Linked DNA regions of Cricetulus griseus. The protein of the gene in region 1 interacts with the protein of each later gene in a pairwise test. Links are inferred from orthologs where the notes say so. Each region holds a gene or a part of one and is shown in the gene's direction. Other genes may lie near its edges.

The links.
Region 2: the proteins of Fez2 (region 1) and Scoc interact in binary tests that used the Homo sapiens proteins (3 or more experiments, as listed by UniProt). The link is inferred for Cricetulus griseus from reciprocal best matches to the Homo sapiens genes FEZ2 and SCOC.

The regions. Positions count from the first base shown.
Region 1 is NC_048600.1:5,603,544-5,616,239, forward strand, and holds the start of Fez2 (fasciculation and elongation protein zeta-2), read left to right. Parts: upstream 1-5,723; 5' UTR 5,724-5,770; coding exon 5,771-6,021; intron 6,022-10,875; coding exon 10,876-10,984; intron 10,985-12,696. UniProt on the Homo sapiens protein: Involved in axonal outgrowth and fasciculation.
Region 2 is NC_048596.1:159,071,391-159,083,594, reverse strand, and holds part of Scoc (short coiled-coil protein), read left to right. Parts: intron 1-7,267; coding exon 7,268-7,459; intron 7,460-10,221; coding exon 10,222-10,293; intron 10,294-10,745; coding exon 10,746-10,829; intron 10,830-12,204. UniProt on the Homo sapiens protein: Positive regulator of amino acid starvation-induced autophagy.

The DNA.
Region 1 (12,696 bases):
GGTTAAGTCTGATTTTTTTCTTTTTCTGTTTCTGATCCCTTTCATCCCTGTAGTCTCTCTTCTTCCCCAGTATTGCTAGATTCTCTGGTGCATCCCTTTAAGGATGACTTGAGTCTAGTATTTTTTGGGGACGTCTATTGGGTTTCCAAGGAAAACTCATACATCCTTGCCCAACACATGATGAAAGTGTGGAACCCACCTGCCCCATGCCCTGTCTCTAGATGCCATCGCCAGAGGACTTGCTCCAGCCTCTGGCCTTAGTAATTCTCCAAGTAAGAAATAGTCCCCCATATTAACATCTCATGTGATTCTAAACTCCAGACCTGGACCTAGGATTCTTCTGTGAAGTCACTTGATGTCATGCTGTGGGCGCATGGGGCCACTGATGTGGATCCAGGCTTTTATCTGAGAAACCACCTAGCTGGAGATAAAGACACACTTTCTGGTCTCTGGGAAGCCCTCTAATGGGGACAGATTGGAGAGCGCATAAAACCCTCTTGGTCTGCCCCACAGTTCTTTCTGTCCGTGTCTCAAATTCTTCAGAATGCCCAGTTCCCTGTTCTGTGGGAGGTATTTGTGAGCAGAAAGAACTAGTTCTTCTCTTTACACACCAGATACCCATTCAACACACTCCTGAGAGACCTTCCCAGGGCCACCATCGAAGCCCGAAGAAAAGGCGGAATTGTCTCTTGTTGAACTTGTGAGGCACCTTTTGGGGACTTCTTGAAGCTACTGTGGTGGCTGTGGGAGATGGATTGGCATAACTCTGCCAGGGCCAACATGACAAGATAATGGGTGGTTTACACCATAACAATGTATTCCCCCTGCTTCTGGAAGTTGCAGGTCCAGTACTGAAGCGCGCGCAGGGCTAGCAGTGTTTTCTTACCTCCGTTTCACCCTGCCTTTGTGTGGTCTCCTTCGGGGCCTGTGCACCCTTGGGGTTTCTCTTTGGGCCCAAATACCATTTTTCAATAAAGCTGGACTGGACTACGGCCTCCTTAAAGGCTTCACTCTACCTTAGTCATCTTTAAAATATTATCTTCAAATACTGAGATATCCATCCAGTCTGAGAGGTTCTGCATCTGAGATTTTTTGGTTTTGTTTGTTTGTTTTTCCAGGACAGGGTTTCTCTGTGTGGCCCTGGCTGTCCTGGAACTCGATCTGTAGACCAGGCTGGCCTCCTCTGCCTCCTGAGTGCTGGGATTAAAGACATGTTTCACCACCGCCCGGCCTGCATATGAGTTTCAAGGGATGTAGATCATCCCAGAACAAGAGGAAATGGCTGCGGCTGGGATTAGCTGGCAGTCTGGGCACATGTATCCTAGAGAATGCTCTTTCAATCCGGCATGTGAAGACTCAGTGGTGTAGATGTATAAAAACACAACTCAGGGGGTTCCTGGAACCCCACTAAGGTTCATAGAGTTGAATGAGCTATTAAAATTCGGAGTCTGGTGTTAATTCAGGACTTTTGTAAGTTTCCCATCCCGTGAGACTTCAGAGACACACTGATTCGCTTTCTCAAACAGCAAATAGTCTCTTGAGGGTTACAAGTTTCTCCCCACAATGTGGGAGAAGACTAAGGTTTCTTTCTTTAAATGGCACAGCAAGGACTTTACAAAGCCCCCCTAGCTTGAACCCTGTATTACTAAATTAGAAAGAGTTAGTGACTTCTGTGTCTATCCTAGTCAAATTGAGCAGAAAATTGAGTAATTACTTGTTTGCTTAAATTACACAAACAATTATCTTAACAGTCCACTTTGTTTTGCTTTTGTGGATCCAATTGCTGTCTGGCTTCAATAGTATGTCCGTTTAGGTTCAGACCATTTGAAGAGTCTATTTTGGTGTGGCAGTATTGAACGGCCAACAGTGAGGGCGGAGACAGAGGCTGAATTTCTAGGCAGGGATAGTACACAGGAGGAGGCGTTTAGGCTCAGGGAAGAAAGAAAAGGAGATGCTGGGGACCAGCCAGCCAGACAAGGAAGCAGGAAAGTAGGATATACAGAATGAAAGCCAAACCTTCATAATTAATAATAAGTCTCTGTGTCTTTATTTGGGAAGCTGGTTGGCAGCACAAAGAAAATTCCAATTGTAGTCCTCCAATGAAGAGCTGCATTCCCTGGACCTCATGGAGCTTTAGTCCCAGCCGCTTGGCTTCTCTTCTGCTTTAGACTCCTCTGAATTATCAGTTTCTCTTAGAGACCCACTGGTGTCTACTTTGATGCCACTTGTCTCCAGACCTCCCCTTCTACCCAGATGCCACTTAGTATTAATTTGTCATTGTACTTAGTGCAATTTAGAAGAAAATTATTTCCTACCCCACCCCCAAATGAATAGGGAGTGGGCTTCTTTGGTTTCTTGACAGTGGGAGTCTTTTCTTTCTTTCTTGAATGGGCCAAAGAGATGTCCCAGCTCCATTGAATTTCTTCTCTATAACTCTAACACTGGAGTTATAGCTTCCAGTGTTCTGAAAACTCAAGCTCACCAATGCCAATACTCTATTTTATTAATGGTTTATTACTTTGCAGTAAAGTTAATTTATGTAACGAATGCTCTTTATTAACACATGCTAGATTGTGTGTGGTCTTAGTTTTAATTGACATATAATACATACATATTTGTGGAGTAAAATGTAGTAACTTGATAAATGCTTACATTTGGTGATAATCAAATCAGGGTAAATTAACATTTCCAACTTCTTAAAAAATATGGCTTCTTTGTGTGTGGTCTTGGACTGCTCAAAAGATTTTAAACAGGGAAACGAATTGAAAGAAGCCATTTTTCAATTTTGACAAGTAAACAATTTTTCCTTAAATTCATGGGTCAATATAGATTTCTGTTCTTTCTATTTTTATTTTCTTCTCTGTCTACTTGTTGGTCTGTCTGTCTTTATCTGTTTTCTCTTTTTGTAATTACTAAGTAAACTTAGCCATTTTGAGTTTTTCTCTAGAAAATGTCATTTATAGACCTTCTTCTCTGTTTCTTTATGAGCCTTTAGCATCTGCTCAGCATGGTACTTTGTTGACTAGACATTTTTGGTATATATATACACAGGTATATGTATACATATATTTCCAAATTTCTTTTTATTTAGTCTTCATTCATACAATAATCCTAACTGCAATTTCCCCTTCTCCATTCCTCCCAGTTTCCCCCCACCTTCCTTCTTCATCATGCCCACTGTTCCTTCATTTCCCTTCATAAAAAGAGCAGCCCACCCAGTGATGTAAACTCATGACAGCTGAATAAGAAGTAGCAAGACGAGGATAGACCCTCATATCAAGGCTGAATGAGGCCGCTATGTTGGAGGAAAGGGTCTCAAGAGCAGGCAAAAGAGTCAGAGAGACACCCCCACTCCCATTGTTAGGGGTCCCACAAACCCCCCACACCCCCACCTCTTTGCTAAACAATCACAGTATGTAAGCAAGATCCTGTCGCAGACCCATGAAGGCTCCTGGGTTTCCCAGTCTCTGTGAAAACCCATATTTCCTTTCTCTTTTGTTTTATGTTTTCAGATTAATTGTATGTTTAGGTGATTTACATGCTAAGTAATATACTTGTCCAATGTTTGTAAGTTTTCACCAGGACATGTGATATGCATAAATTTCAATGCACTGTAAATCTGAGATGTTTCCACTCAGTCTTTATGTGAACATATCACTCAAGTACCATGAAGCTGTTTTTCTGTCTTCCCTAATTTTGAACCAAGTGCTATAAGTTATTTTTCTCAGATAACTTTTTTCTTTTTAAATTTAGTTTTAATTTAGAACCTTACAGCTTTCCCCTCTCGGTTGTCCCGCCCTCAAATTTATGGCCTATTTTTCTTTCATTATTATTGGTACATATACAAGCTAACTTTTTTGTTTGCTTGCTTGGTTTTTGTTTTTCGAGACAGGGTTTCTTTGTGTAATAACCATAGCTGTTCTGGAACTAGCTCTGTAGACCAGGCTGGCCTAGAACTCACAGAGATCTACCTGCCTCTTTCTCCCGAGTGCTGGGATTAAAGGCATGTGCCACCACCACCTGACTTTTCTTAATCTATCAAATGTTCATTTTCATAGGGCCTCTAGGAGCTGGTAGGAGATAGTAGGTATAAAATAAATAAGTTTGAGTGAGTCAGTTGGTAGACTTGGGCTGTACGACATGGTTAAAGGAGGCCTGCTTTTTCCTCAGAGGCCTCTGGGTTCTGGTGGGCTGTCTACACCTGAGGCTGGGGCTCCTTTGTTCAGATGGGTGGCAGTGAAGGAAGCTCAAATTTGGTTGAGGGGTAGGAGTGTTGTCAGGAAGGAGAGTGAGACTGTTGAGAGGAAATACTAAGTGGAGGAGTGCAGGGAACAGGAACTTGAGACTGGATAGTTTCTAAGATAGGCTGAGTGGAAGGACTCTGAAGAAGGGGTGGGTGGACATGAATAGTGCCACAGCTTGGGCAGAAATGGGTCTCCTACTGGATGTCTTCTTACACGTCAACCATTCTCCACCTCTGAAGGCGGGGTTTAAATGAGTTCACCAGACTCAACATAAATGACAAATAGGTATTTATTAGGTAAGCATTTACACAGATAAGAGTAAATAACCTATGAGGTCTCCCTGCTCTAGAAGATGCAGTCTCTGCCCTTTAGATCTCTCTGCAACCCAAAAGAGTGCTAGCCAGCCCCTCCTCTACCTTATAATGAAAGGGTCACATCTGCACCTGAAAACCATGCCCAAAGGGTGTGGCCACTACCACCAAGTTCACTGGCAAGGCAAGATGCTACTGCATACCTCCTTTTGACCAAGGGGGAAAATACTATATGCTAGGAAATTTATTAGACATTTTGTATTCATTGTTTTATTTAATCACACATAAAAACAAGTCCGATGGTAAATAGAGATGCCCAATAAAATTTTATAGAATTTTGAGTATGTGGGTATATAAAACGTTTTATAATATATTATTTACTGATGTTTCACCCCCTGAATGACACATTTTAAGAGATACGGGTTTTGTCAATTCCTAGTCATTTAATGCTTCTACCTACTTTCCCTAAATTTTACTGTAGTTGAATGCACATAAAACTGCAATTCTAGTCATCTTCAGGGCACAGTATATCCATACTGCATACAACCATCGCAACTCTCTATGTCCATAAATCTTTTCAACTTGCAAAACAGAGATGCTATATCCATGAAACAAAAACTTCCCATACCTCAGTCACACTTTTACAAGATTTAAAATTCACTTAGCCTTAACACTCCAGCTACAGTAATAAGGGAATGCCCTTGGAGAGCAAGCAGATGGGTATTTACTCTTCAGGCATTTTCCAAATTCTTCGAGAATACTACTCACTTACACAATCATGAATTACACAATCATATACTAGCTGAAGCTAGTATATGCTTTGCACGTGGGTGAGATATATTTGTGGAATGAATTTCGGTTACCACTTAAATATTTGCCAGTACCTCTTGTCATTCTGGATGGAATGTTATGAGAGTTCCCTTGGAGCAAAAAAAAATCTGACACTAGGTTTAAAACAATCTTCCTTTTAGCCACTTTTAGCCAGGGACGCTGAGGGACGTTATTTCTAAATGATCAAGAACATAGGAAGTGACTCAACTCAGTTAAGCTCTTCCTTCCCCTGGGAACTGGTGCTCAGCTCCAAAAGACTCAGGAAATGAAGATTCTGGACTCACTCACCCCAGAACAGGCGGGTAAGGGGCGTGGCCTCGAGTGGGCGGCGCCAGAGGGCGTGGCCGTCCGGCCGGGGCGGGGTGCGGGCCGGTAGCGGGCGCGATGGCGGCGGATGGGGACTGGCAGGATTTCTATGAGTTCCAGGAGCCGGCCCGGAGCGTCCAGGACCAGGAGAACTGTAACGCGAGCCCCGAGGCCGGAGCTGGGGCACCCGCGGGCGGCGACAGCTTCCCGGCCTTGGCCTGCAGCCTGGAGGAGAAGCTGAGCCTGTGCTTCCGCCCCTCGAAGGACGCCGAGTCCCCGCGGGCGACCGTGCGGCCCATCACGGAGCACAGCCTCCTGCAAGGGGACGAGTGAGTGCGGGCCCCGGAGCGGGCGGGAGCCGTCCCTACCTCGCCCTGTCCCCGTGGCCCCGGGAGTCCGAGCAGGCCCCGCCCCCCGCCCTCCTTCCTCCGGGGACTCTCCCAGCCCCGCCCCCCGCCCGCCCCGTCCCGTCCCGCCCCGCTCCGAGCTGCCGGCCTGGTCAGCTGGAGTTTAAAAGCCCGCTGCCCCTGCCTTCCCTGGATCACCCCCTGCAGCTCCCTGTGTGTTTACTTGTGGGAGATCCTGCCTCCTGGGGCATGTGTGGGTCATTCATTCATTCATTCATTCATTCATTCATTCAACTCACTTCTGTTAAAACCCCTGCCAAGGGCTTGGCACTGCCATTGCCAAAGTGTGCATTGCTCCTTTCAAAGAGGACACCGAGTGGGATGGGACATGGATTTGTTAAACACATGTTTTATGAGTGTGATGAGTGCTTTGATGGATGTTTGTACCGGATATGGATGATTTATTTCAAAGGGGATGTCCGAATGAAGACTTTATAGAGAACCCGCAAATTGAATTCTGGTGGAGTTAGGTGCCAAGGTGCAGGGGAGTGAGGTACCATTGAAGTCACACAAGTCTGTTGGGACCATAAGAGCAAACTGCCACAGAGGCAAAAAGTGAAGGGCGGCAGTTACTAATGACAAGGACCCGATAGTGTAATCGAGAAGACTAGTGCACGGCCTGCAATGGCTACAGAATCTTGTATATGATTAGTTTCAGTGAGGACATTCACAGGGGTTGATGAGAGCACTTTATTTAAACACCTTGAACCCCAATTATCGTTTGGTTAAGTGAGAGTTGCAATTATGTACCGTAGTTTTTCCCCTGTCAGATAGCTGAAAGAAAGAGTGGTGAGAGCCAGCAAGCTGGAGTGTTTTGTTTGTAGAGAGACGAGGCCCTTTAGAAGCCATATGGACACTAAGGACTCTGAGAAGGTGATGGCTGGGACCGTTTCCAGGCATTGAAGATGTGGAGGGACTAGAGATTAGTGGGAGGAAAATTAAATACAAACACTTTTATTACATTTTATTAATTTTGTGAGTCCTTGTGTGAGTGAGGGTGGGTGTAGCAAGCCTGTCAACTGCTGTGGCACATACTTGGAAGTCAAACGGCCACTTGTGGATGGTCTCCCCCCCCACCCCCTTGTTTTTCTCGGTGGCAGCCACCTTTAGGGACCAAGCCATGTGAGGAATTCTTGAATGATGATAGGATTCATGAAAAAAAGTTTTAATTCCTCAAAAATTAGGATATTTGTCAAGAAAGAGCAAACATACACACAGAGAGGGCATATGTAAACATGGTTGAAGAGCTTCATTCCAACACCGTTCCTTTTTATCATTCTTGTTGCCCAAGGGCAGAGGAGGGCTAAGTTTATGATGGGTTTAAAACAAAGAGATGAGCATGCAGTTCGTAACTAAAGGTGAGTTGTGTGGAATTTCCCAGAGAAGATAATAGCTTCATCTATTTGTGGATTTATACACTTTAATTATTGAGACTTACTGAATATTCTGGGTTTTAAGGTTATATTCATGAGTAACTTTTTTTTTTTTTTTTTTTTTTTTTTTGGTTTTTCAAGACAGCGTTTCTCTGTGTAGCTTTGGAGCCTATCTTGGCACTGGCTCTGGAGACCAGGCCGGCCTTGAACTCACAGAGATCCGCCTGCCTCTACCTCCCGAGGGCTGGGATTAAAGGCATGAGCCACCAACGCCCAGCCTCATGAGTAACTTAAAGCAGATGAGTGTGGCTTGGTACTGAGATTCTTAGAGTACCTATTTTTGCTTCAGCTGGACATTCTGCAAAGTTTATTTTAGCCTGTCCTTCAAACTTAGGTGGCTGTAAAATCTAAACTATTTTGTTGCTTTTCCTGTTTTGCTTCTTGTAGTCCAGGCTGGCCTTGAACTTGCTATGAAGCTAGGGCTGACCTTGGCCTCCTGACCTTCCTGCTGCCCTCCAAATGCTGGAATTCCTGGAATAAACCAGTAAACTAAGCCTTTTGTTACCCATTTCCCTCAATTTGGAGATAGAGTCTCATGTAGCTCAGGCTAGCTTCAAACTCATTTTGGAGATGAGGTTGACCTTGAACTCCTGATCTTTCTGCCTCCACCTCTTGAGTGCAGAGATTACAGGTATGCACCAACACACCCAGTTTTCTGTGTTGCTGGGGTTGGATTCCAGGGCTCATACATGCCGGGCAAGCATTTAGCATTTGTGCTATAAATTTAGCCTGGTTGCTCCTGATAGGAGCTGTGTTGGTGAGAGTGCATGTCTCCTGATTGGGGATGCATAGCAAACCTTTTAAGAGCCAGGGCTCACTCCTTTTTGTCTCCTTTCTCTGGTATACTTTTGCTTTATAGGGTCCATTCCAGCTTCCTTCAACAGTCAGAAAATCCCTTTGTCCGCTTCCCACCATGACTGGATTTTTACTTAACTTCCTTGAGCTTTGCTTTCAGTTTCTGTCATTATGGATTTACTCATCTGCTGAGAGCTTCAGGACATTGTCCCTTGGAGCCACTGTACACAGGACTTTGGCTGGGAGGGAGCGCTTCCACCAGCTATTTATGACAGGTCACAGTGTTTATGATAAAGACAAGGCAGCTCAGATGTCTTGACTGGCGAGTTCGGGAAACCTTAGGGGAAGTTGGCCTTATATCCTTCTAGCTGCAATTGTTCTGACCTTGGGAGAGAGAATGCCTTGTTTATTGTGCTGTTTTCTTGGAAGCTGGAACCCACAGCTGCTCCTAGTAGGAGAGGTACTCCACTATCTTTGTCTTACAGCTTTTTGTAAGAAGGGTGTGACCAACAGACAAAACAACTCTTCCAAACCCGGGACTCCTCACCTTTTAGAATAGTCTGTGTCCTTGGCCAGGGTTAGGGATATAATCAGCTGTTAGGGTTTGAAAGTTGTGACCCAGGATAGTAAGTAACTCCCATTACCATCAGCCAGTAGCTGCCCTTGTTCCCAGTTCTGGTTCATTGACACTAGAGAACATCAGGTTCCAGCTATGATGCAGTCTGAGGGAGCCTTACATAGGGGATATTTGTAGGGTGATAGACCCCACTTTGTAGAGCTTTTTGGGTTCATGTTTTTCTTGTGGTTTGGAAGCCACACACCCCTTGGGATGTTATACGTCTGGAAACTTCTATTCTTAAGCATAGAATCCTTGTTTATTAAATCAAGTTTTTTTTTTTTTTTTTTTTTCTACTTTCTTTCTTTCTGAGACAGGATTTTTCTGTGTAACAACTCTAGCTGTCCTGGAACTCACTCTGTAGACCAGCCTGGCCTTGAACTCACAGAGAGCACCACCACCTGGCTAAAAGAAGTGTTATTTCTTTGCTGCAGTTGTGTTTTATTTTTATTTTATTTAAATTAATTTTTTTTTTTTTTTTGCATATGGTGCCCTATCTGCATTTTCACCTGCAGGCCAGAAGAGGCATCAGATTCCATTATAGATGGTTGTGAGCCACCATGTGGTTGCTGGGGATTGAACTCAGAACCTCTGGAAGAGCAGTCAGTGCTCTTAACCGATGAGCTATCTCTCCAGCTCACTTTGGCAATTTTAAACTTACCTTGTTATGTTTTTGCCCTTGCTAGGATTTTATCCTGATTGCTGACCAACTTGAAAAAAAAGGCTTATCTAACTATTTCATGATTTATTATTATTTACAATTAGATACCTTTTACAAATTTTAACATAACAAAGGTGACATGTTAGTGTAGTCTCCTAGGAAGTAGCTCAGATGTGTAGTGTTTAACCTCACTTACCCTACTTAAATTTCATCTTATTGATGCTTATGAATTTAGGCTCCTTCCCCCCAATAAAGCATCATGTTTTACTATGGTGATTATTATTTTTGTACCAAACCCTGGCTTTTGATCCTGAAGTCTACCCTCTTTGTTCATTGGAACTAGAAAAGGTGCCTACTTCATGTCCAAGCTTCTTTTTGTGGCTGGGCAGCTGATACCCAGGCAGTTTAAGGAACTTGGCCAAAGATTGGCCAAGGGAAAATGAATATATGAATCTGTTTCCTGAGTCTGAGTTCAGTGCCTCTTTGTTTTACCCCATCTCCCTACCTCAGATGCTGTTTGATAAGAAAGTGGTAATTGCATTGACTGTATAACTTGCCTGAATTTATGTGACCTCTCACTCTTTCAACTTTCATCAGCCCCAGTCCTTATCCTGTTACGTTACAAATAGATATGAATCCCTGCTCTCACACTGAGACTGAATCCTTGTTCTAGAAAATACAGCATGTCTTTGGAAAGCACAGCATGTTTACTTTGTGTTTCTGAAGATAATACTGCAGTTTTCTGTGTTTCCTGGCTCTTCACTTGGAAAATGAAGATAATAAAGGTTTCTGCTTCTAATGTTTTTGAGGATGAAATGAATTCGTATACTTTCGTGTGTATGTGTTGAGTCTATATCTCGTTTATCTACACTTTTTTTTTTACATTTAATCGCTCGTTGTGTGTGTGTGTTTATGTGCTGTCATCCTTCTGTGTATGTGTCCTATAAACTGAACAGTATCCTGTGCGTAGTCCATCTGATTATGTGATTTTTCATGACTCTAGCTTTGTCGATGTTTTTCTAAGAAACAATGCACCTTTTATTTTTTTAAATTTTTTCAAAGTTTCCCTTCTACCATCTGCACATGTTTTTTTATTATTTAAATTAGAAACAAGATTGTTTTACATGTCAGTCCCAGTTCCCTCTCCCTTCCATCCTCCCTCGCCCCCTACCGACTCTTATTCTGGGTCCCTTAACAGTAGTACTGGATTTTAAAAAAAAAAGCCATGAGGAGTGTTCCATTTCACTGATTGCTGTTTTCTTCTGTTTAAGGATTTGGAATGCCCTGACAGATAATTATGGGAATGTCATGCCTGTAGACTGGAAGTCGTCCCATACGAGGGCTTTGCATTTGCTCACTCTGAACCTCTCAGAGAAAGGGGTAAGTGAGGAGCTGGACCAGAGCGGCTGCAGAGCCAGTGCTGATAGTGGGACAAGTTTGTGGAACGGACGGACAGCGTCTTATTTTCAAGCTACTGGCTGGCCGGCCCATTCTTGCTATCTTGTTTTCACTGCTGTCTCTTTGCTGGTGCAGTCCTGCTGTTCCTCATGTGTTTATTTTTGCATGGCCGTTAAATTCTCTCACCAACGATCTCCATCTCCTTCTGTTTATACAACCAAACTGTGATATGGCGAGATCAGTCAGATTCCTACCCTTTTATTTATTTAATATATTTGGGGTACTGGAATATCAGCAGTTATGTAATTTAGTGATGCTAGGCATGACACACATTCCTGTGAGTACTGGGGAACCATTAAAAGCCATTTCTGTTCTTGAGTTTTTGTGTGCATATATGTATCCATACACTCAGGTGTGTTGGAGCGTGTGCACATGCATGCATATGTACATTTTGTACCTTTATCTGGTGGCATCGGGTATTCATTTCAGTTATTTTCTGCCTTATTTTTTGAAATAAGGTCTCTTATTGAATCTGGAGCTCACTAATTCAGATTCAACCATCGAGCCCCAGGTATCCTCCCATCTCTCTTCCTGGCTCTAGGATGACAGGTTACACACCACCGTGCCTGGCTTTCATGTGGGGGTTGTGGATCTGAATTTAGGTCCTCATGCTTGTGTCTCCCCACTTTAGCACCCAGATGCCTTCCCATTGTTGATTTTTGACTGCCACATGAAGATATCTTATGTAACAATGTGAGCACAGTGATGCCATGGCTAGGGGCCAGAAAAGGGAATGGTTTGAAGTAGACACTCACAGAGTTACATTTGTTTAAAGATGATGAGCCCCATAGCCAAATTATTTAAATCTCACATTCACCCTGTTTTCAGTTCTTCAGCAGAGAACAATGTAAGCTTATGTCAGATCCCCTGGCACACTCTATTTCATTAAGTGTGATTGTGCTGTGGGGCTGTCAGTATGTTAAATAGCATTGTTAATGTTTCATGAAATGATTTTTCTTAAATATTTGACGTGGAAAAGCCTGTTGCTTTCAATTTCTAGTGGAATATGGAATTCTGGCTCTGTCTGCCAGAGTTCTCGTAGCCTCACTGCTTCTCCCTGTCATTAACCTCTTTAAGCTTTGCAGGCTGACCTGACATACATGTACTAAACAGGACAGTAGCTAGATAGCTTTCATTCTATCTTTTGTTTATTTAGGGCCTAGCTGTCATTTGGGGCTTTGTCCAAGTCCCCCCTCCCCCAACCTCACCCCCTAAACGTCCTATTACTGTTTTAGCCTTTGCTGAGCTCATGGAATTATACAATTTTAGAGTTGGAAGGATCTTTAAAGGACACTTAATCCAGTGTCTCAGATGGGGAGAAACCCCACCTACAGCATCACTGACAGATGGTTACTTTGCCATGGCCTAAATCCTTGCACGGAAGAAAACACACTCCTGTGTGGAATCTGGAGAGCCCTGTGGAGACATGCACATGTTTATAGGGTTTGTTTCCTGTCCCATGGAGTTTAGCGCTATTATCTCATGGGCGCTAGTCCCCACAGCGCAGCGTCCATGTGTCTTTCAAATCATCACTGTGCTGTTTTACTAAGCATGTTTCTGAGCCTGTCATTAGATGGTGACTTTCTAGTAACTGTCTCTATGCCTGACACTTAGTGAGGGCTGTGTAGCCTGTT
Region 2 (12,204 bases), on another chromosome or scaffold:
AAGGTCCTTAAAACTCACTTTTAGACCAGCTCCGCCCCCTAGTGGCAAGGCTTTTCAGAACTCTCCAACTTTGCCAGGATAAGCAGAGGGGCCCGTGGCCCTGCTTCCCTGCAACAAATGTAATTATCTTAGAAATTATCAATTTAGCCAATTATTTTAAAACAAATAACATGTAGGTTTTTCTTTGCTTCCCCAACTCTGTGTGTGTGTGTGTGTGTGTGTGTGTGTGTGTGTGTGTGTGTGTGTGTATTGAAGGGACCAGCTCCCCATTTTGGCAGCCATAACAGCCGAACATGTGCTTGTCTGACCTTGCCTTGGTCACTAAGAGGTCAGATGCCTGCCTCATGGCAAGGAACCAATCTGAAGTTAGCTGGTGGTGCTATGCTTTACAGCTCTGGGTGTGCTTTACAGACAAGCACACAGCAATGATGCACAGAGCATAGCAACCACCCTGGGAGGGCCTATGGGCCATAACAACCAGTTGGCCAATCAACACAGGGCAAGCCCTCCAAGCCTGGAGGCACACCAATCCTGAGCCTGTGCGTCCCCCAGACACTCCCCTTATGCTGCCCTACAAAATCTCTCTGCAGCCGGTTCGAGCTGTCTTTGCTAGCCATCTGCCATGGCAGGTGGATGAAAGACCCGAGCTAACATGGGGTTAGCTCATTAAACAACAATAAAGCCTCATGCTGTTTGCATCAAGCTTTTGAATCTGCCTGGTGATTGGGGTGACCGAGGTCCTGGGCTGAGATCCTGGAGGCCTGAGCTTTCCGGGGGTCTTACAGTATGTGTGTATGTGTGTGTGTATGTGTATGTGTCTGTGTGCATGTGTGTGTTGTCGTGACCCGGCATGTCTCAACCTTAACACATTAGGATTGGCCTGAGTGGGGGGGTGTGGACCTGGAAACTCCTAGCAACCCAGCGGAGATGAAGACCAAACACAGGCATCTTGTCATTTTTAGAGAGCTCTCAGTTCCATGTTGTAGAACTAGAGTCATTTCTTTATTTTCCATCTTTACTGCAGTTTCTTAACTATCCTTTCATTACCACGAGGGAACCATTTCTGTCTTTGTTCTCTCCTCTCTGGTCGCACACTCGCTCCTAACCTTCTGTCCTCACATGTTACTCACACTCCTATGGTCCCCCTGCCCAGGTACAGGCCTATTCAGATGCTTAGGTGCATAGAGATGCAAATTAGGAGGCATATTATCCTGAGGCCATGGTAAACAATAGTAGCCTTACTGGCATTAACAATACAATAGTGGGCCTGAGCTTTCTGGTGTTCCTGTTTAGTGAAACCCAAGGCTGGATCTCAAAATATTCCATAGTGGAAATATTTTGGTCCCCCACAGTGTGTGTATGTGAGTGTGTGTATGTGAGTGTGTGTATGTGAGTGTGTGTATGTGAGTGTGTGTATGTGAGTGTGTGTACGTGTGTGTGTGTGTGTGTGTGTGTGTGTGTGTGTGTGTGTGATGCCCATGCACATGAGTGACTGTGCTTGTAGAGGACACAGGTGTACCTTGGGAGTCATTCCTTAGGATGACTACAGCCTGGAAAACTCAGGCCTCCAGGGTCTCAGCCCAGGACCTCGGTCACCCCAATCACCAGGCAGATTCAAAAGCTTGATGCAAACAGCATGAGGCTTTATTGTTGTTTAATGAGCTAACCCCATGTTAGCTCGGGTCTTTCATCCACCTGCCATGGCAGATGGCTAGCAAAGACAGCTCGAACCGGCTGCAGAGAGATTTTGTAGGGCAGCATAAGGGAAGTGTCTAGGGGATGCACAGGCTCAGGATTGGTGTGCGTCCAGGCTTGGAGGGCTTGCCCTGTGTTGATTGGCCAACTGGTTGTTATGGCCCATAGGCCCTCCCAGGGTGGTTGCTATGCTCTGTGCATCATTGCTGTGTGCTTGTCTGTAAAACACACCCAGAGCTGTAAAGCATAGCACCACCAGCTAACTTCTGATTGGTTCCTTGTCATGAGACAGGCACCTAACCTCTAGTGACCAAGGCAAGGTAAGAAAAGCACATGTTATTGTCATGGCTGCCAAAAGGGCCAGGCATCTGACCTTAGTGACTAAGACAAGGTCAGACAAGCATGAGTTCGGATGTTATGGCTGCCGAAATGGGGAGCTGGTCCCTTCACTACCACACCTTGTATTTTGGGGACAGGTCTTTCACTGGCCTGGGACTTACCAGTTCAGTTAGACTGACCAGCAAACCCTGGAGTTTTGGTCCTCTTCATATCCTCCAACAAGGGAATTACAAGCGTTCACCACCAACCACATCTGGATGTTTTCACATGGGTCACAGGAATTGAACTCAAGTCCTCATACTAGCACGGTAAACAATCACCTGAGCTCTCTCCCCAGCTCTTGTTCTTACTGGGAACTATGGAGAAGTTAGGTTAAGTAGTAAAACAGGAGGTCTGAAGTAAGCTGTGAAATGCCCTGTTTGTGCCGCAGACATTCCTCAAGGGTCCCAACTCCTGCCGACGATCTTCTTCTGCAGCTGTGGACTTTCTTCTCTTTTGACCAGAAGAAACCCACCCAGGCTTCCTGAGGCATTCACAGACATTTCCCTGGAGATGTTGTATAATGCAGGGGGTTGGGGGCAGGAATTTGCCACAGAAATGAAGACAACCCAGGTAGGAGGTTCCTGAGAGAGATGTTGCCATGGACCCTGGGGGTACTGTATTTTTTGTGGGCATGCCAAGAGCGTGAATTCCTTTCCTGGATTTGATGGAGTGTGTTTTCAGTGCACCAGTCAGTGCCTGGGAAACACTGGCCCTGGTTCAGGAAAAGCTTGCTTCACTTTCCATAGAGGCAAAAGATTTTCAGTCTCCACATTCTGGCCCTGCATCACAGCATGCTGCATATGTAAGCACTACTGCAGCCTCCCCACACTCTGAGACTCTGGGTGTGGGGGATGGGGGGCAACCCAGAATGAAGTTCATGCAGGGGTGGGGTGTTGAGTGGTGGAGGCTGAGACTCTGACCCGGACATCTCATCATCTGCCAACATCTGTAAAACAAGAGATGCATCAGCTTGTAAGTTTGAAGATCCCAGATCCTGACAGAAAATGGGAAGCCCCCAGACTGGCCCCTTTCTCCTAAAGGGTGACTGGGAGAACAGACAGCTACCAGTTAGGGCAATTTGAAGAAGGCCCTTTAGCCAGGTGGCATTCAGAGCCACTGGGGACCATTCTGTTGTAACTCTGTAACCCTGGCTTCTCTGTGCTCTTCAAAGCATCACTTCCTACTTTCTGTTTTTCCGAGATAAGGTTTCTCTGTGTAACTCTGGCCTTCTTGGAGCTGACTCGGTAGACTAGGTTGGCCTGCTTTTGCCTCTCTAATACTGGGATTAAAGGCATGTGCCACTACCGCCTGGCAACAGCTTATGCTTAGTAAAAACAGAGTTTTTTTCTCTCTCTCTTTTTTCTCCTTTTTTTTCTTTAGAGACACAGTTTTTCTGTATATCTCTGACTATGCTGGAACTCACTATATAAACCAGGCTGTGGCCTCAAACTCAGAGATCTGCATGCCTCTTCGTCCTGAGTGTTAGGATTAAAGGTGTGGGCCACCAACAAAACAAAACAGAAAATCCAGAATTTTCTTAATGCTACTATACTCAAATGATTAATCTTGACTTTAAAGCCAGACAGACTATTTCTATAAAACTCAGTGAAATGTGTTACCTTCCTGAAATTATTTGTGATGTATGTTTGTTTGAGTGCATGTGTGATTGTGAGAGTTACAGGATCATGGAATTGTGAGTGGTGAAAGATCACCTGCTGAGGAAATATGTTTAGGCTTCCAGGCTGGCCTGGAACTTATTATGTAGCCCAGGCTGGCCTCAAACTTGGAGCCAACTTCTTGCCTATGGCTCCGTCTGTGGGATTACAGGCACACACTACCACAGCAACTTGGTTGCACTGCTTATCAAGGTTTTTCCAAATCATCTATTTGCATACAACATTGACATTTTGGCAATAATATATTAGGGATTGAAGTAATTAATGAATTTGGCTTTGTCCTAAGCAGGTACATCTGCAAATGAAGGGCTGATTATGTTATTTTTATATCTTATGTTGTGTTTCTTATACAAAGGTAAATAAAATAAAATCTGGTTAAAAAACATGTGAGGAAAAATCAGCATATTATTTTCTTTTTTTCCCATTAAGGTTCAAAGTTTAATGCTAAGTAGATCTTGAGATCTTTAATTCTTTGGAGAGCTCTCTAAAAAATGCAGTGGTAACCTCTATACTTGCCCTGAAAAATGGATGAAAATGACTGATAAATTAGCCAAACTTGAGAAAAGTACACATAACTAACTTAATTTACCAAATGACAATATGGCTCATGCTAAGTATAGTACTCTATTCCAAAATATGCTCTTAGACCTAGTTTTGAAATCAAATTTCAGTAAGCAGTGTACAGTCTTTAGTCACTGAATTCAAGACAGCGCTTGCTCTCCAGTGAGTTCAATAGCCTTGCAAGGGAAAAAGAATTAGAAAAAAGAAAACGTGAGTTCTTATCAAGAAACGAGATGAAGCAGGGTTTGAGAATTCATGAGTTTAAAGTATCAGGGAACACACCAGGCTCCATTTAAAGTACCAAATGTCTCCCTTTAGCATATTTCACTTTAAAACATCCAGCGTGGTTAGGATCCCTTTAATTACTGAAGGCACGTTTTTGTGTGCATCTCGAGAGTGTATCAGGCTGGCAGGTCAGGGTGACTTAAAAATCAAAAGAGTTAATTATTTTTGTGTATGAGTATTTTGCTTGTAGGTATGTATGGGCATCACCTGCATGAAATGTCCACAGAGGACAGAAGCGAGTGTTGGATCACCTGGAGGTGGAATTCCCAGGTAGTTGTAAACCTTCATATGAGTGCTGGCAACGGAACCAGGGTCCTCTGCAAGAGTGGACAGGCTCCTAACTGTTCAGCCAGCTCTTTAGCCCCTGATGACAATGAGCTTGGACCTTCTCTGCTTGATTCTGAATCATTTCTTCCTCATATAACACCTGACCATGCTAACAGCTTCAACTTGGGCTTCTTCTATTGTGAACTCAAGCTGTATGTTAAATGATATACTGCAAACATTTCAAATCTGTGAGCTTTCGTTTTCATTTTTCCAAAGAGCAAATATTTTAGTTTTTGTCAAGTGAATTTTTTATAGCTTTTTTTATGACTTTAAAAGTATTTGCCAATTCAAAGCTAGTGAAGATTTCTCTGTCTTCTAAAAATAGTCTAACCTTCCATTTTAGACAATGTCCATTTTGTATTAACACTTTGTATGTTGTGAGGTCAGAGTTAAGGCTTATCCCCTATCCATATCTATTGTTCAAACACTGCTATTGAAGACAAAGTTCCCTCAATGGAATTACTTTGGTACTACAGTGAGAAATCAGTTGGCCATATGGGTCAATATGTGGGCTTTTTCCCGATCCTGTCCTGTTTTATTTATCTGTGTGACCTCTTTATACCAGCACTATTATTGATCTCATTGATTCAGCTTAAAAGTGAGTGCTGAAGTGATGTTGGGTATGCATTCTGCTCCTTCACAAGTTTGTACTCTGTAACGTGATAAATAAAGGGCCCAGAGACTGATATTGGGTTCAAGCTTCAAGCTGAAGGTCAGAGAAGCAAAATAGTGGGCCATTAGCTCAGGCTGAAGGGGCTGATTCTGCTGCCTCTCCTCAGCATGGCTGGGGAATCCTGAGACTTCAATGTCTTCTATTCTCAATGTGGCTGGAGAATTATCCTCACTATGTCTGGAGAATGAATGCCTGTTACTGAGACCTTGCTCCTGTCTTATATATCTCTCTAATGCTGGGATTAAAGGTGTGTGATCTCAGGTGCTGAGATCATTTTTGCAGGAGCTGTTTCTCTTTAGGACTGGATCAACCTAGTGTAGATCTGGGTGGCCTTAATCTTAATCTTGAGTCCTAGGATTAAAGGTGTGTACCTCCATCTCCTAGCTTCTGGCTGCCGGGATTAAAGGTGTGTGCCTGGTTTCTATGGCTTGAGGCTGACTTTGCTTTCTGAATCCCCAGGCCAGCTTTAATAAATCATAAATAATGTATCACCACAGTGCTTCATGGACTTTCAGATAGATAAGTTGGAGAACGGTCTCTCTTACTGTGTTTCCTGGAAGAGTTTTACAGAACTGAGTTTTATTAAAATATTTGGAAAATTTTACTACAGATCCTCCTGGATCTTGTATGTCCTTTGTGGGAACAGTTTAAAATAGAGCTGGGCTCTGAATGTCATCTGTTACTGTGAGCTTTTGTGTTGTGTTTTCTCTCAAAGAACTGTCAGTTTCATCCAAGTTCTGCACCCTGATGCTAAGGCTGCCATAGCATCTTTGTAACCTTTAATGTCTACAGTATGGACAGTGAGGCCCTGGCTTTCATTGAATTTAAATTTTACCATTCTTTAAAATAACCACCTTTGCAACTCAGTGGTAGAGGAAATGCTTAGCTTATGTGAGGCGTGTACACACACACACACACACACACACACACACACACACACACACACACACACACACAGAGGCGGGTGGGGTGGGAGGGGACAGGGAGAGAAGAAAGTATATGCAAACTCGTCTCTAAGCTCAGGTTTTGTTAAAGTCAAAGCAAAGACGCTTTGCAGGTTGGGATATACTTGGTGGTCAATCAGTGCTAACTGCAAGATACTTTGTTTCAAAGGTTAGGTTAGAATGAGAAGACCACATGGCAACCCTGTATCGAGTACGTTGTATATTTGTCCCTGAATAAGAAACACGCTTTTAAGTCTCAGGTTTTCTGTGAGATGGAACGAGATCAGGCGATGCTGACCTAAGGCATCATGAGGTGATCAGGCTAACTGTGAGCTTAAAAATCGTCCAGGATTCGGGGATACGAAGAGAAACATCCATTAATGGTATATGCTTTATGCGTTTTCTGATTTTAGAAATTAAAAGAAAGAAAAGTGTGCTTTTAGATCGAGGGACGGCAGACTGCACTGTTGTGCTCACTCTGCTTCGAATGTGAACAAAGTGTGGCTGTATCAATCTCCAGAATATTCTATGACCTGGAACAACTTCCAAAAGCACTTTTCAGGTTCCGGGCGAGACAAAACCTGCTCAGCGAGGTTCGCCTTCTTTGGAGCGGCATCCCTTCTGCGTTGTGATTGGTCGCTGCTTTTCCAAGACACACCCAACAATCTTGATTGGGCGTCAATGCCCTTTTGTTAGGGCAAAGGTGGACCCCGGTGCTCCGCCAGGGGCGGGGTCGGGGCGGCCAGCAGCCAACGCGCAGGCGTGCGATCTCGCGGTGGGATTGGTGGGAGTCCGCCTCCTCGCTCGGCGCACGCTCCGTGGGCGGGGAGGGCGGAGCTGCTGCTGTCAGTTGGTCCGAGAGCTGCGGCCTGAGGCTTCTTACCCATCCCGCCCCCTCCCGGCGCCTCAGACGCAAGGTGAGGCGGCCCGGGGCGGCGTGGGCTGGGGTCGCGGGACCGCACTCGCAGCCTCGTTACCGCCGGGGCCCGGCAGGCGGGGCGGGGCGGGGCGGGGCGGCGGTATGGGCGCTGGATCGCGGGGCCCCGAGGCCCGACGCCCCGCCGAGCCCTACGCAGCCTCCTTCCTGGCCGCACGCAGCGGGATGCGTGGGAAGAGCCTGCCGGTGCCCGACTTGGACGCCTTGGGGCTGCGAGGGGACCCAGGTGGTGGGAGAGGATGCACTGCAGCCGCAGCTACCTTTCAGCTCGCGTCAATCCTCCGCCTCCGCCTCCTGAATCCTGGGATTGGGTTTCAGGCGTGGTGGTCCACGCCTGACTGGGGTGGGACATCTTTGCTTGGGCCTGGGTTTGTTTCTTTGTCAGCTGTTCTCAAGCATTCTGTGGAACAGATATTGGGGAATAAGGTTTGGGAAGGAGAAGATATACGTTCCCGAAAAGCCAAGATTTCTGTTATAAACTACCAGACTCTGACGTTTGTTTTTTTCAAGACAGGGTTTCTCTGTGTAGCTTTGGAGCCTGTCCTGGCACTCGCTCTGGAGACCAGGCTGGCCTCGAACTCACAGAGATCCGCCTGCCTCTGCCTCCCGAGTAACTGCCAGACTCTGACTGTGTAGTAGTTGGAAGGACAGATGTTCCCAAACCGTTATCTGTTTTTGAGGTCCAAACAAACTGTGCATGGGATCCTGGTGGCTGTATGCTTCAGTGATAAACTGGATGCAGCTAGCTCTCTGGAGGCCTAACTTAAATTTGAAATCCTTATTGACCGCGAGCATAGTCCCTCGATTTTCATGGAATTTGAGACCCAAAATATGTCAAAAGCAGAACATGGACAGAGAAACAAATCGAGTGGAGCAGCTTGAAGCAAATGACATTTATTCTTAGTTGCTTAGTTTTTGGAAATGCCAAAGAATTCGAATTTTCCAAAACGTTTGACAAGCTCATATTAGGATATTAGGACCGTAATTATGTCTTGGCTATGAAACAGGAGGCAATGCCCCTGACCTTTAGAAGGCTTAGTATCCACATCTGTGAATTGCAGTTTCCTTCTGTTTTGATGAAACTATATATGTGAAGTGTTTAGTTCATTAATTTAGTGCATTGTACTCTTTACTTTTTAAAAACACTGGCTCACTGGTAAGTAGACAACATATGAAAAACATGAATGCAAAAGCAGAATAGTCCTGTGTTTGGATGGATGTGTTAGGGAAATGTCAAACTTAATCCGAGCTGAGGTGAAATGGGGGGGGGGCACAGGGACAGACTGGGCACGTCTATGGACATGACTATAGCCTTGACTCTGGTGAAGTGGATTAGGCCACTCAGTTCTGGCCCTGTGTCTAATCACTGTGCTAAACATCTTAGAAGGTACAGTGTGAGCGTGTGGCAGTCGTTTAAATTAATCCTGGCCTAGTGCTTGCCATATCCCCTAAGCCTTACTCTCTCTACTCTTTCCACTCCTGGATTTAAAGTATAGAAGGTTACAGACTAATCACTAACAAGCTAGGTGCACAAGGCCTCTGATATTTCCTGTGATTTTCAAAGAAAAGTTTCAAAGAGAAGAGAATCTCAGAGCTAGGGCAGCTGGTAAGTCAGAAACTAACTGTGTAAGGTGTGTGTGTGTGTGTGTGTGTGTGTGTGTGTGTGTGTGTGTGTGTGTGAGCGCGCGCGCGCGCGCGCGCGCGCACATGCTGCATCCAGTGACCCCACAACTCACAGGCGTGGCAATGTGCATGTTACCCCAGTGCTTGGGAGGTGGCGTGGACCTCTGCAGCTTGCTCTAAAACTACTCTGATGGACTTGGTGAGTTCCAGGTTCAACCAGAGGCTTCGTCTTAAAAAAATAAGTGGAGAGGAACTGAGGGAGACACCCAGAATTGACTTGTGGCCTCCACATGTGCACAAAAATACACATGTGAACATGCACACAGACAGACACACAAACAAAACAGCTTTGTCATTTTAAAACTTGAACGTTGTTTACATGGAGAGGAATATGTTTTAAACCATTAGCATGTAGTAGAGTTTCCTTATATACATTCCTGTCATACATCTGTTCGGTTGATGAAAATTTTTATTTGTTTGTTTTTTTCAAGACAGGGTTTCTCTGTGTAGCTTTGGAGGCTGTCCTGGAACCCGCTTTGTAGACCAGGCTGGCCTCAGACTCACCGAGATCCACCTGCCTCTGCCTCCCGAGTGCTGGGATTAAAGGCCTGTGCCACTATTGCATGACAATGAGAAGAATTCTTAAAGTATGATCTTCAAATACTATAATAGCTAGAATAACTTTTAAAAAAGAATTTTGAAAAAAGAATCTAGTAATTCACTTTCTCTGAAGTGCAGATAGTCTCTGTAAACCGTGGTGGAAACCAGGCTCTCCGTGTGGTTCAGGAGCATGCTCAGTTTTCCAGTTCTGGAGTAGTGCTATGTAAGGATGCTTGGTAGCTTTCATACTGAGAGCTGCCAGAGAGTCCACTTTTCCATTTGTACTCTGGACATTCTGTCTCTGAAGGATTTTTTTTATGTGTTTACCTTTCCTCCCTTTTAATTGTCCTTAGTAAAAGGATTTACAGTGTTTCTGAGTCCTCTGCTTATCTCCCCATGCGCACTTCAAAGCAGCAAGGCCTGAGAAGGGTTCCTCTGGGTCACATCCTTTAACTACCTTGTCTTTTGAAAAACAAGCTTATATTTTACTGTTATGTCTGTTTCTTTTTCTTGTTGCAGACCATTCATCAAAGAGTGTGCATCCAAGAGCAGAAAGTCTGTTCCCCAAGATGATGAATGCTGACATGGATGGTAAGGTCTTTAATCTGTTTTCTGTGTGTTTCTGCCTTTCTGTATGCTTTTTCTTTATTAAGCAATGGAAAGAGCAGAGAAACAATCTTTAGAAGGTGTAGGTTAGCCAGGCAGTGGTGGCGCACGCCTTTAGTCCCACACTCAGGAGCCAGAAGCAGATGGATCTCTAAGTTCTAGGCCAGCCTGGTCTACATGGTGAGTTTCAGGACAGCCAGGGCTACACAGAGAAGGTTTAGGTTTGACTACTTTCCCATTTGCAGTAGAATTTATCCAAGGTGACTTCAATTCTGTAACTGTATGGCATGTTCAGCTTAATGCCCCATCTGCCCTCAGGTATAGGTTCTGTATACACAATTATTGAGACAATGGTTATAAAATGTTCTGAAGAATTTTAAGTGCTGCATGTCAAAACTGGCAGTGGTTATTAGTAAATTTAACACTTTTTATTACAGCAGTTGATGCTGAAAATCAGGTGGAACTGGAAGAAAAGACTCGACTTATTAATCAGGTGTTGGAACTTCAACACACACTTGAAGGTTAGAGTAAATTTTGTAGTTTTTGTAAATGACATCCAGTTAACTTCAAAGTCCATGTTAATAGTTGGTGGGTTTTTTGTTTGTTTTTGTTTTGTTTTGTTGTTATTTTGTAAAAAGAAAAAAAAGTTACTGTTATTTGTAAGTGTGGGCTGGTGTGCCTGCTGGGGCACTCTGTGAAGTCAGAGGCTGATGTGTGGGAATGTTCCCTCCTTCTATCACAGGGATCATGGATCTGAATTCAGGTAATCAGGTTTGGCTTGTGGGCATCCTTACCCAGTGAGCCATGTTGCTGGCCCCAGCCGTTTTCTCTTACTTTCTGGCTGGTTGTCTAAAGGACAAATATGCCTCAGATTAGTCACTGCTTTTGAGCGTCCTCTTTAAGGTGTTCACAGGATGCTGGCTTAGCATGAGAGCTCTTTACATCTGGTAGGGTGTTTTGGAGCCTGTTTTGGGAAAGCTCTATTAAAATGAAAAGAAGCATGACCTCCAGAGTTTCCAATTGATCATAGATTTATTTTCATTTTCTGACTTCCTTCCATACAATTACTACTACTGACTTGGCTTCTGATATTCAGTGTCATTAAATATTGTTTTTTGTTGAGGCACAAAATGTACAATAGCTTCTCATTTGACAGGTTATCTGGCTGTCCCCTTTGCTTTAACTCTCCTGCTTTAGATACATGTCTGTGTGGCTCATTTCCTCAGTTCCTTCAGGCCTCTAGTCTAATTACTCTTAGCAAAATAGTTAACTCTAAAAAAGCACTTCTCATCTGCTTTTATGACCATTAGTCATTTTACTTTTTCTCTAGAAGAAGTGTGACATACAGTGTATCAACATGCTTAATGTTTACTCCTGACACTTGGGTGCCTGTGTTACCGAATGCATATGCGCCCACATATAACCTTGTTCACTGTTGCCTCTAGAATGATGCCTGCTCCTGTTGATCATTAGACATTTTTAAATGTGTGAATGGAGATAATTTTTTACTTGTTCATGAGGACCTGCGTCTTTCGAATTTTTAACTGATGTTTAACCACTGCTTGGATCTCATATCCAGCATAGGAGTCCACTTGTGTTAAGCTACAGATCTTAAATATTTCCAGTAAAGACATTGTAGTTTCATATGGTAGGACAGGAACCCTTTATAAACAATGTTTTCTAACTACTGTAAGAGTTAACATAATGCTCTTTGCAGACTGAGCCCCATGGGAAACTCTGTCAACATTCACCATCTTTACTTAAGCCTTTACCCCCAGTAATCTGAACTGAAAAACAGAAAATTTCCAAATTTCGATTTTCCAAATTGTGTATTTATTGGTAGTGCTTGGGGTCAAATCCAGGTTTTCACACTTGTAGACAAGGGCTGTACCACTG